Callithrix jacchus: one gene and its partners. The protein of the gene in region 2 interacts with the protein of the main gene of each other region in a pairwise test. Links are inferred from orthologs where the notes say so. Each region holds a gene or a part of one and is shown on either strand. Other genes may lie near its edges.

Evidence for each region.
Region 1: the proteins of tyrosine-protein phosphatase non-receptor type substrate 1 (region 2) and NOL3 interact in a two-hybrid assay, tested with the Homo sapiens proteins (2 studies listed by BioGRID and IntAct). The two-hybrid records come from large-scale screens. The link is inferred for Callithrix jacchus from reciprocal best matches to the Homo sapiens genes SIRPA and NOL3.
Region 3: the proteins of tyrosine-protein phosphatase non-receptor type substrate 1 (region 2) and CCDC57 interact in a two-hybrid assay, tested with the Homo sapiens proteins (2 studies listed by BioGRID). The two-hybrid records come from large-scale screens. The link is inferred for Callithrix jacchus from reciprocal best matches to the Homo sapiens genes SIRPA and CCDC57.

The regions. Positions count from the first base shown.
Region 1 is NC_133521.1:24,678,873-24,682,952, reverse strand, and holds the start of NOL3 (nucleolar protein 3), read right to left. Parts: upstream 2,874-4,080; 5' UTR 2,848-2,873; exon of another isoform or gene 2,540-2,847; 5' UTR 2,482-2,539; intron 1-2,481. Other genes in the region: HSF4 (heat shock factor protein 4), read right to left, coding at 3,625-3,779, 4,062-4,080.
Region 2 is NC_133506.1:9,495,615-9,499,258, reverse strand, and holds part of tyrosine-protein phosphatase non-receptor type substrate 1, read right to left. Parts: intron 2,763-3,644; coding exon 2,406-2,762; intron 1-2,405. UniProt on the Homo sapiens protein: Immunoglobulin-like cell surface receptor for CD47. Acts as docking protein and induces translocation of PTPN6, PTPN11 and other binding partners from the cytosol to the plasma membrane.
Region 3 is NC_133506.1:137,722,450-137,726,093, reverse strand, and holds part of CCDC57 (coiled-coil domain-containing protein 57), read left to right. Parts: intron 1-3,328; coding exon 3,329-3,513; 3' UTR 3,514-3,644. UniProt on the Homo sapiens protein: Pleiotropic regulator of centriole duplication, mitosis, and ciliogenesis. Critical interface between centrosome and microtubule-mediated cellular processes. Centriole duplication protein required for recruitment of CEP63, CEP152, and PLK4 to the centrosome.

The DNA of each region.
Region 1 (4,080 bases), on a different chromosome or scaffold from region 2:
GGTCTTGAACTTCTGACTTCAAGCGATCCACTGCCTTGGCCTCTTAAAGTGCTGAGATTGCAGGCATGCACCACCACACCTGGCTCATGAGAGACTATCTCTACCAAACAGCAGCTATTAGAGAAAATTAATCTGCTTGGTCCTTTTTTTTTTTTTTTTTTTTGAGACAGTCTCACTCTGTGGCCCAGGCTGGGGAGTGCAGTGGCATGGTCTTGGCTCACTGCAACCTCTGTCTCCTGGGTTCAAGCAATTCTTCTGCCTCAGCCTCCTGAGTAGCTGGGACTACTGGCACTCACCACCATGCCTGGCTAATTTTTTGTATTTTTTTTTTTTTTTGAGACGGAGTTTCACTCTTGTTACCCAGGCTGGAGTGCAATGGCACGATCTCGGCTCACTGCAACCTCCGCCTCCTGGGTTTAGGCAATTCTCCTGCCTCAGCCTCCCAAATAGCTGGGATTACAGGCATGTGCCACCATGCCCAGCTAATTTTTTGTATCTTTAGTAGAGACAGGGTTTCACCATTTTGACCAGGATGGTCTCAATCTCATGACCTCGTGATCCACCCGCCTTAGCCTCCCAAAGTGCTGGGATTACAGGCTTGAGCCACCACACCCGGCCATTTTTTGTATTTTTAGTAGAGACGGGGTTTCACTATGTTGACCAGGCTGGTCTCGAACTCCTGACCTTGTGATCTGCCTGCCTCAGCCTCCCAAAGTTCTGGGATTACAGGTGTGAGCCACCGCACCTGGCTGCTTTGTCCATTTATTCCCAACCGAGGATTATGGCCCATTCCTGTGAGTGGCCTGATGCAGCCAGCAAGACCCCTGGCATTAGGAGGCAAAGACAGCCGGCTTTGGACCATGGCCTCAGCTCACCCCCGCCCCCATAATATATATATATATATATAAACATATATATTAACATATATATTATTATATATTAACATATATATTATTATATATATAATAATAACCTCCCCTCCTCCCTGCCTTGCCTTTGTTCACACAACATCCTTCCATCTCCTCTTCCCTTTGCTGTCCCTTCTCTGCCTCCTCCTCTGACTCTAGGAGGCTGGGCCTTCTCTGGGAGAAAGGATTTGGTTCTAGCCCCCATCCTGCCTCCCAGGTCTCTCTCAGTACCCTCTGGTGTCACACTATATCGCTCCTGTCACTTCACACCCTGGCTCCTGCCCATTGAAGCCCTTCCTCCTGGGCTACCAAGCTGAGACCAGAACTACTCCCTGCCCCTCCCTTTCTCTCTCTCTCTCTCCCTCTCCCTCTTTTTTTTTGAGACAGAGATTTGATCTTGTTGCCCAGGCTGGAAGGCAATGGCAAAATCTTGTCTCACCTCAACCTCTGCCTCCCGGGTTCAAGTGATTCTCCTGCCTCAGCCTCCTGAGTAGCTGGGATTACAGTCATGAACCACCATGCCCACCTAAGTTTGCATTTGTAGTAGAGACAGGGTTTCTTCATGTTGGTCAGGCTAGTCTCAAACTCCTGACCTCAGGTGATCCACCTGCCTCAGCCTCCTGAAGTGCTGGGATTACAGACACGAGCCACCTCCGTCTCTCTTTATGTCCCTTCTGTGACAGGTCTTGCTTCTCCACTTCTCAGTGAGTATCCATCAGCTGCTGCCTCACCACCCCACCATGGTCACCTCATGTCCTGTAACAGTCCGTCTGAGGCCCTCTCACTCCCATTCCACTAGACCCCACAGCACAGTGAATTTGACAACTTTCTGGGCTAGGATTACTGTTCCCGTTTTACAGATGAGGAGATAGGCTCAGAGATTCAGTGGTAAAACTGGAATCTTACTTGCCCCAGCCTGAGCTATGAGGAACTGAACTATATTCTCCTGTCTAGCAAAATCCCATCCTAAATATCTATCTACCTCCCCCCACCCCACCCCACTGCCTATCAGACCTTAACTATCTGGTCTGGCTACTCTAACCTCCTCCCACCACCCTGGACAGCCAGGTCCTTCCCAGCTTCCCTCCACCAGTCAGGGCTGGGAGAACTCATTATGGCCTTGGCACCTTGGAGCCTTTGCTGATGCCCTAAGACTGGAATCCTTTTCCCCTCCCTCCACTTCATGGACCTATCCATCCTCCACGACTCAAATGTTCCCTTGTCTACACCAACGCCTAAGTGTCCCAAGGGCAGGTGGTTCTTCTGTGTACCCAGTAAACAAACATATGCCCTCACCACCACATAACCAATATCACTGCATTGTATACACGCAGATCCTCTGTTTTCTTCAGCTGAGGCTTCCAGTGTCCCTCCAATCGGTGGGCACAGGAAGGGAGAGGGGGAGAGTACCTACTCGGGACAGACACAGGGAGGGTGCAGATTGGATTGGCCCCTCCTCTCTACTCCAGCCTAAATTGTTCTCATGTTAGCTTTCTCCTCCTATGACCCCAAGTCCTGCCCTTTTTCCAGCTGGTCTGGGCTCTCCCTTTGAGGATTTAACAGTTCTCAATACCGAAGTTATTTAGCGGTCAGTCCTTCGAGGGCGACGGGTCAGATGTTTCCCAGAGAGCCTGGTGGTGGCGAGCGCGTGGAGCTTGGTCCCAGACTCCAACCCCAGCTCGATGCTCGGGCTCTTTGGCCGGGGAGCCAGGGTCTGGGGACACTGCGGAGCCTTTGCGGATGTACGACCGCACGGATCCCCTTACCTCCCTCCACTCAGTCCCAGAGCCTGAGAGTCCAGCGGCAGGGCGGGGCCCACAGACCTCCCCAACCCAGTGGTGCGCTGATTCTGCCCAATCTCGGTTTCCCTTCCCTCCCCCAGCCGGGAGTGGGGCTCCCGGTCTGGCCCGTTTTGGGCGGCCCCACTCACGGGTCGAACCTCGGCGGGGCAGGAGATGACGGTGCAGAAAGGGCCCGGCAGGGTGGGGGTGGGTGCAGCAGCTGCGGCGGGGGCGGGGCGGCCAGGGCTGCTGGGAATAGGGAGGGTGAGGGTTCTTCCCCGGGCACTGGGAGCCACGCCGCGGAGGCCGCGCGCTGGCTGGGGACGTGCACGTAGTCAGCTTTCCCTCCCCAACCGGGGTGCACCGGGAGATGAGGCCAGGAGGGGTCAGTTCGGCCCGCGGCCCCACACGTCCAATGCCCACTCAGGGCCTGCCAATTTCCAGGTGCTTTGCATCTATCCTGTCATCGACCCCTCTTCCCTGCCTGTCACAGAGGAAGCTCAGAGAGGGGTACTGACTCACCCAGGATCACAGAACGCATGCATTGCAGAGCTGAATGTGACCCAGAAGCCCCCGTTTCCCAGAGATTGCATCGGCCCAGCGCCTGCCCTGGATCCCGGCCTAGGCAGGGGAGCTAGGCACCAGATCCCCAACCATCTCCACCCTACCGGGGTTCCTCTATTAAAGACCTAGTAACTGAACGCGTCTACAAATGCAAAATCACCCCCATCCACAACTCCTGTGCTCCCTGGCCGATAGAGAAAAGAGACCAGAAACAGAAAAAAAAAATGGAGTTTATGTGCAGGGCTAATCGGGGTAGTGGAGAGAGGACGATGAGTAGTGGGGGCTTCGCTCACCCCCGCCAGGGGGCGCCAGGAAGCCAAAAAGGGTGTGCAGCTGCGGACTGACTCGAGCCCCCTTCAGAGGCCAGGGTCTTAGGGGGAGGGACTGGCTTCCGGGCCCAAGTAGGAGGCGGTCTGGCTCTCAGGGGTGCTGTAAATGGTTAAAGCCCCAGGCAAACCCAGGGCTGGGCCTCCCAAGGCTGCCTGGACATCCAGCAAGAGTGGCGCCCCCAACGTGGGGTCCTTCCCTAGGAGAAGTTGGGCAGTGTTCACGAAGGGAAAGGTTCCCCCTCCTTTCATCAGGGAAGGAGAGCCCTGCCCACCTGCTTTCTGCTCAGTTAGGATGAAACATCCATTCTTAACCTCCCCACTCTCACCCAGTGGTGAGGGCATGGGTGGCTCAAGGAACTCTCTGCAGGGCAGTCTGAACTTGGAATTTCCCTGCAAAGTTCAGATTGCCCCATTGCTCAATCAAGGTAGCTCAGCCCAATCAAGCCCTTCTCCTAGGTGGGAGTCATCACAACCATTACCTGGGCTTGGAGAATTTAA
Region 2 (3,644 bases):
GTGCCCAGATCTGGTTACCCTATTGCCATAAACTGAAGTTGGTGGGCTCCTGAAAGCCCGAGGGGAGAATAGAAACTCTTACTCCTATGGGCCCAAAGCACCCACCCAGGAAACGCCTCATCTCCGCATCCTTAGTCCTCAGCACCATGAGTAGGTGGGCATGTGGTCTGCTGGGCTGCAGGAGGCCCGACTCTGCTCCATGGATGCTGCTCAGTGATGTGCTGAGACCTGTCCTTTAGGAACAGGTTCCTGTATCATGAGACACCTGCAGGACCTTTCTGATGGGGGCTGGCCCCTCCTACTTCCATAGGATTTTTTGCTTTGTTTTCCCTTTTTTTTGAAACTGAGTCTTGCTTTGTTACCCAAGCTGGGGTGCAGTGGCACGATCTCGGCTCACTGCAATCTCCGCCTTCTGGGTTCGAGCAATTCTCCTGCCTCAGCCTATGCTCATTGCTATAGAACTGCAAGAGTGGAATGAGAAGGGTGGAACATTTCTCCACTTTGATAAGCACAGCTGGGTGTTACAGATACAGGGGCTGTGGTTCAAGGCTCCACAACCTGCTCACCACTTAGGTCTCCTCTCTGGGCCTCAGAGTCCTTATCTGTAAAAGGGGCAAACACATGGCTCTTCCTTCTAGTACTTGTTATAAAGGGAGAAAGTGCCAGACTCAGGATCTGGCCCAGCTGCTGCTCCCTGGCCCCCTCCTGCCTCCCTCCTTTCTCATCCAGGACATCATTTAGGCTGACAGCATGGCAAAGAGGAGTGAGCACTGTACTAGGAGTCAGCAGAACTGGGTCACACCTGAGCCATTTACTTGCTGCGATTGTCTAGGCATGGGATGCCTCATCTGGAAACCTCAATGTCTTTTCCTGTAATATCTGCACGATCAGAATAAAGCCACCCTCCCTGCCTATGTCCAGCGGTTGTGGGGGGACTTGTTATTATGTCTAGGATGGAAATAAGGCCATATCCACACAAATGAAAACACACACACCCTCTGATCTAGCAATGGCACCTCCAGTGGGCATCTCCCACCTGAGGAGGGTGACACATGCTAAAGGTCATCCACTGCAGGACTGTTTTAATAGCTCAAAGTTGGGGACAACTTATATAGCCATCAATAGAAGACTATAAAATAAGTCTCATATTTCTATAAGCTGGAGTATTCGGTAACTATTACACAACAGAACAGGTCTCTATGTCCTGATATGAAATCTCCATTTCAAATAACATGGTTTACATTTGGGTGAGGTTTTCCAGTTACCAATGGGGTCTGAATGTGAGTATTCTGAACCTTTGGGAAACTGATGAAAAGGAGAAGTGCTGGCTCCCTGCTTACTGGCTCTGTTCAAGGAGCTTTCATTGAGCACCTGTGATGCTCCAGGCTTTTCTATGGAAACAATGCTTAACACTTGGGCAGGAAGGAGCCTCCCTGGAATCAGATGTGGGCTCTGGTCCAGATCCTGTCACTAACTGGCCCTGTGACTACGGGCAAGGCCCCTGTCATCTCCTGACTTCAAGTGGCCACCTGTAACTGGGGGTTGGGCTGGATGGTCTGAGGGTCCTTCCTGTACTAATGTCCCAGGACCAGGAGCTAGAACAAGAATCCTGGGGCCCTGTCAACAAACACAAATGAGCATCTTTGCTGCCTTAACTGAGGAACCCGAAGTCACCCAGAAGGAATACCTCTTTCCTGGAATGGGGGACATTCTTTGATGACCCCGCTTTGTTCAGAGCTTTTGGTGATTGCATAAATCAGTCCCTAAATTGCACGAGGTTTTTTCTAAAAGACCCACAGAAAATGCCGGGACCTCTGGCTTCCCCTCTCACCAGGGCCATCAGACTAAACAGTAAATCTGTGCCTTTTAGGAATCTTCTCAGTCGATGTTTGGTGATGGAATAAAGAAAAGCACACCCTCCCTCCTCGCTGCCCTGGGTGGATTTCTTATTGGAAAAGATGAGAACACAAGCTTGGTGGAGCCTGGCACATAGTAGGTTTTAGTGGGTGCCTGTCACTTAGAGGAGACTTGACCACCCCGAGAGGGAAGCACTCTCTGGAGGCGGCAGGTGAGGTCTGGCCCTGTGCCTGGACAAGTCACTCTATCTGTTGGTTCCCTCATCTGTGGAACCAAAGGGCTGGGGCAGATGAGAAGTGGCAAGGGCTGCAGACCCAGGCAGCTGAAGGAAGGATGCTGACTTTCCCAGTCTTTGCCAGCTGTGGAGCCTTGAGCAAATAGCAGGGCATCTCCAGGCCTCAACTTCCGTTATATGTAAAAGTGGGAGACATCAATTCATGAAAAGGAGCACCCACCACCACACCTAGTCATGGCTCAAAGAACGGAGGGTGTTATTATTGGCTTATTGTCACAAACCAGGGGATGAAGGAGGCCCACGCTGTACTCACCCCGCACAGACAGCTCAGTGCCTGGTCCAGACTTCAACTCCACGTCAATAGGGCTCGCTTTCCGGAACTTCACACAGTAGTAGGTGCCGGCATCTGCTGGGGTGATGTTACTGATGCGGATGGAATGGTCCATGTTGTTTCTCTTTGTCTGGTCTGCGACAGCTGTTACCCGGGGGAATTGGCCTTCTTTTTGATTATAGATTAATTCCCGGCCTGGTCCGGCTCCTCTGAACCACTGGATGGGCCCCACGGGGACCAGGGAGGTCACAGTGCAGTGCAGAGTGGCCGTCTCTCCAGCTGCGACCGACACGGACTTCTCAGGCTGCACCACCTGCAGCTCCTCCTCACCTGCCACTCCTGAAAGGAGCACAAAGCAGTGATTTTTTTCAGGCTTACATGATTCTCTGCTTCCTCAAGTGTTTATCAATGACTTTCATTAACTGGGTGCACACCAGGAGCAGGCCTTAAACTCAGCACACTGTGTATATTATCTCACTTAATCCTCACAAGAAACCTGCAACATGAACCTGTATTCTAAGTGGGGACACTGAGGCACAGAAAGCTAAGTGACATGACAGAGAGTGGCTTCGAATGCCTGGACCCTCTCTGGAAGAGTCACATCTCAGCTAGACTCTATAATTCCAATCTGAATTAACCAGAAGAGGGCCTGGTGTTTAGACAGAGGGAACAGCCTGGGCAAGGACTCAGAGGTAGGAGCCTGGCATGTGTGGTGCTCTACAAGGCGTTAGGTTCTGTTTCTGGCCTGGCCCAGGATGCAGGCCCCGAGAAGGGAGGCTGTCCTCAGCGGTCTTGGGCAGTAGGAGAACGTGGTTGGAGTTCTGGATCACTGGTCTACAGATGTGTCCTTGGGCCACCGCTCAGGTGACCAATAAGATCCAGTGTAGACTCATGCCAGTGTGTGTGAGTCTCGGCCTGGAGCCCGGGGCTGAGCCCGGCTTGCACAGTGCCACACAAATGCAAGAGCTGCCCTCAGTTTGCCCTTCCTGCTCTCAGCCTTGGTTTCTTTATCTGTAAAATAGTTACTATGACCCCACCTCAATGGATCTCTGGGAGGACAAAACAAGCCAAGGCTGGGGACAGTGTCAGAATTCAGCATGCGGTCTTCAGTCATCGGTCCTGGTTTGGAACCTGGCTCACCCCTTGTTTGTATGGGACCCTAGTTTATCAATCGGCTTTGAGTCTCAGTTTTCTTATCTATGAGATGGGTAGAACACCCCC
Region 3 (3,644 bases), about 130 Mb from region 2:
AACCCCAGGCCTGAGCTCCAGGAGCTCAGGGGTGGGGGTGTCCCTTAGGAGACATCAGCAGGTGGGGTTGGCATGGCCTGTGAGCTTCACAGGCATCGGGGCTGTGGAAAGGTGCACGAAGCTTCTGGAGATTCTGGACCGGGGGAGCCAAGTCATGTTCGATGTCGCTTTCTGCACGGAAGGCCTGGTACCATGCAGACAGCAGTAGGAATCCTTATTCCCAAGAGACTTGGAAACACAATGAGTTGCATTTGAGAAGGGTTAATTTGGGGTGGATGAGGACCCTTGTGGCAGCGAGGGGGATTCAGCAGAATGAGGGCCCTCAGCATGGCAGGGGTGTACCCCAGAGAGCAGTGGAGGCCATAGGAAGACAGAGGGGCCTCTGTGCCCTGGGCCCAAGGCCACAGAATGGACTTGAGGTCTGAGCTACCATCAGGGCCAGGCCCTCCCTAGCCCCAAGGCAGCTCTGGAGAACCAGGGCAGGCTCAGGCTCACCGTCCAGCCCTTTCCAAAGCCCTAGGAAGCCAGGCAGATGTGCCCAGGGGCACCCAGAGAGCCAGGAGCAGCCTGGAGAATGAGCCACCAGAGGCCAATTGGGACAAGAGCTGGGTTGCCGCTCAGGTGCAGGAGAAGAAACGCATGCATGGGGTGGCCAGAAAGCTGGGGACCAGCGCTGCTCAGAGTTCTCATACCCCCAGGCAGAGACAGAGCAATGGCCACACCTCCCCTGCCATGGGACAGGCTGTGTCCTCCCTTGAGATTCCACCAGCTTCAAACCTCCAAGTATGGTTCGGCCGCCTGAGGGGCCAGAGTCCAGCCCAGGGGGCCCTTCCTCAGCTTAACCCCCTGGGAGGGGTTAAGCATGAGAGGAGCCAGCAGGCCCCAGTCCTCCTCCCCTGATTAATTGCTGCAAGGCCTTGGATGTTTCAGGAACTTTACAGCTCTGTTCTGGGCCAGAGCAAGAGCAGATGGTGGGGGAGGGGTGCAGGGCCCAAGAGGCGCGTCCCTCACGCTGTGCCCAGCAAACTCTGGGTCCACATGGTTTCCCTGAGGCCCAGTCAGCCCAGTGCAGAAAGACAAATCCCAGCCAGGCTCGGCAAAACAGGTCAGGCGAGGAGGGGCAGAGAGTGGTGAAGGCTAAGAGTGTTTTTAGAACCAGTTACTGGTTTGACCTCAGATTAGCATCAGGTAGGAGAAGAACCTGGGGTCACAGGGAGTCACGCCTGGGCAGCCAGTTTGACAGCCCTTGCCTCCCAGCCTAGGGCTGGCTGGGCTGGGGCTGCCCCCTGCCCTGCAGTCCTGGGCTCATGGCCAGTTCCCTGCCACCATCCCTGAGGAGGACTCAGAAGGAAAGGGGCCGGTGAAGAAACCAGAGCCCGAGAAGTGGATATTCTGTGCTAGGGAGGCCAGACCAGCTCAAAAGCCCTGCCCCAGGTGGATAGGGGAGGGGAGGGTCTGCCCTGGGAAGGAGGCCAGCCCACCCTCCCTGCCCCGGCACTGTGCCCCACTGACACTTCCCTGCTTTGCCTGGGGATACAGCTATGTTCCTCCCAGCAGCACCTGCCGGGCCTCCCCAGCAGAGGGGCTGCCCATTCAACCTCCTCCCCCAGTTCACTTTTTCTGAAAATCCCCGCAGGCATTGTCTCAGGAGGATCAACTCAGGCCAAGCCCCCAGAATTCCTGTGTCTTAGAGAGGGACAACCAAGGCCGCTGGGTTTGAGGAGACCCCTCAGGGTCACTGTGGAGCACTAGGGCCTGGTCAGAGGACCAACTTCGCAGCGGGAAGCCCTTTCCATGGGACACCCCACCCTCTGTGGTGGCAGCCAAGCCAGTGCTGGGGGTGCGTGGGGGGTGGTGCCGAGGTCAGGCAGGCTTGTTGTCTAGAGTTACGTAGTGGGAGCCTTTGTATGAAGAGGAGGAAGTCCTCTGGGGGTTGGAAGCAAAGGGAGCAGGCAGTGTCCAGGGCCCCCCAGGAACCCAGCAGAGGGCCAGGGGCTAAAGGATGGCTGGTTCTGGGTGTCTCGAGACCCCGACCATGGAGTGGGTGGAAGAAGCCGGGATGGGAAGACAGGCTCAGTGCCAGGGTGGGGTGCGTGTGGCTGCCCATGTGCACTGTGAAGCCCAGCCAAGAAATAGGCATCACTGCCAGTGTTTCCAGAGCACAGGCACTTCCCGGGCACCCAGGCGGCACGCAGGCCACATGGGTCAGGCTCCAGCGGGAGGCCTTGGCCACTGGCTGACCTGCCCGGGTCCATCTGTCCAGACTGCATGCTGGGCTGCACTGGGCCATGTGCTGGAGCCCTCTAGACCTCACCCCAGCCATGGGTGGGCACTCAGTGGACACTGAGCTCACATCTTACCATGGGTTTTTAAGTAACATTTTGTTGTTTTACCAAAAAAACACATTTTTTTTTTTTTTTTTTTTTTTTGAGACAGAGTTTCGCTCTTGTTACCCAGGCTGGAGTGCAATGGCGCGATCTCGGCTCACGGCAACCTCCGCCTCCTGGGTTCAGGCAAGTCTCCTGCCTCAGCCTCCTGAGTAGCTGGGATTACAGGCATGCACCACCGTGCCCAGCTAATTTTTTGTATATTTTTTAGTTGACACGGGGTTTCACCATGTTGACCAGGATGGTCTTGATCTCCTGACCTGGTGATCCACCCGCCTTGGCCTCCCAAAGTGCTGGGATTACAGGCTTGAGCCACCATGCCCGGCCAAAAAACACATTCTTAATTCAAAAAATGGAAAATAGAGAAAAACTAGCTAGATAAAGACGATCCCTTATGACACCCCTGTGTGAAGACAGTCTCAGCCAATGCTTTGGAAGGGCTGCCTGGTGCTGAGGCCCGAGCCTGTGTATGTGGTGCTCTTCTAGGCTCTTGGCCTGTGCCTGGCCAGGGGGTTCCCACTAGCATGGCCTTTCCTTCGGCCTCACAAGCCTAGCACTGCTGGCCCATGGGGGAGGCAGGGGCAGGGGATGTGTCTCAGAGGGTGGGGACACCTGGCGCAGCTGGGAAGAGGGGCTTCTGGTCAACCATTTACCCCAGCATCCCTCCCCGTCCTGGGACCATCTTCAGAGCCAGATGTCCAGGTGCCCAGTAGGGGGGGCAGGCCCAGGCTCTACCAAGCAGGACCCACTGAGCAAGGCGAGGACACAGCTCTCCAGTCAGGCCTTCAAGGACTCCTGGAGCAGCCAGGCCAAGGGTCACAGGGCCCTGCCGGCCGGGGCAACAGAACCACTGCACGTGTGGAGAGCATGTGAGCACAGCCTCCCGCCCCTCCTGCAGCCTGACGCAGGCTGTTTTTCTCCCATTTCTCTTTATCCGGTAGAACTCCCAGCTCCTCCAGCAGCCAATAGGAACCCCGTCAAGATGCAGGCAGGCTTTGCCACCCCAGGGATGAAGACGGCAGCGCAGGCAAAGGCCAAGCCCACAGGAGCCTCCCGGTCTCATCCTGAAAAAGCTAAAGGCTGCCAAAGGCTCCCCAAGATCTGGAACTACAACGTCAAGAGCTGACTTCCTTGACCCCCCCACCCACCGCTTGGGGTGCTCAGGTCCTCTGCATGAGTGCCTGTGCTTTCACCTACGTGTTGAGGGGGTGTGGGTGCAGGATGCAGGGTGGGGGCAGGGAGCTGCAGGGTTGCTGC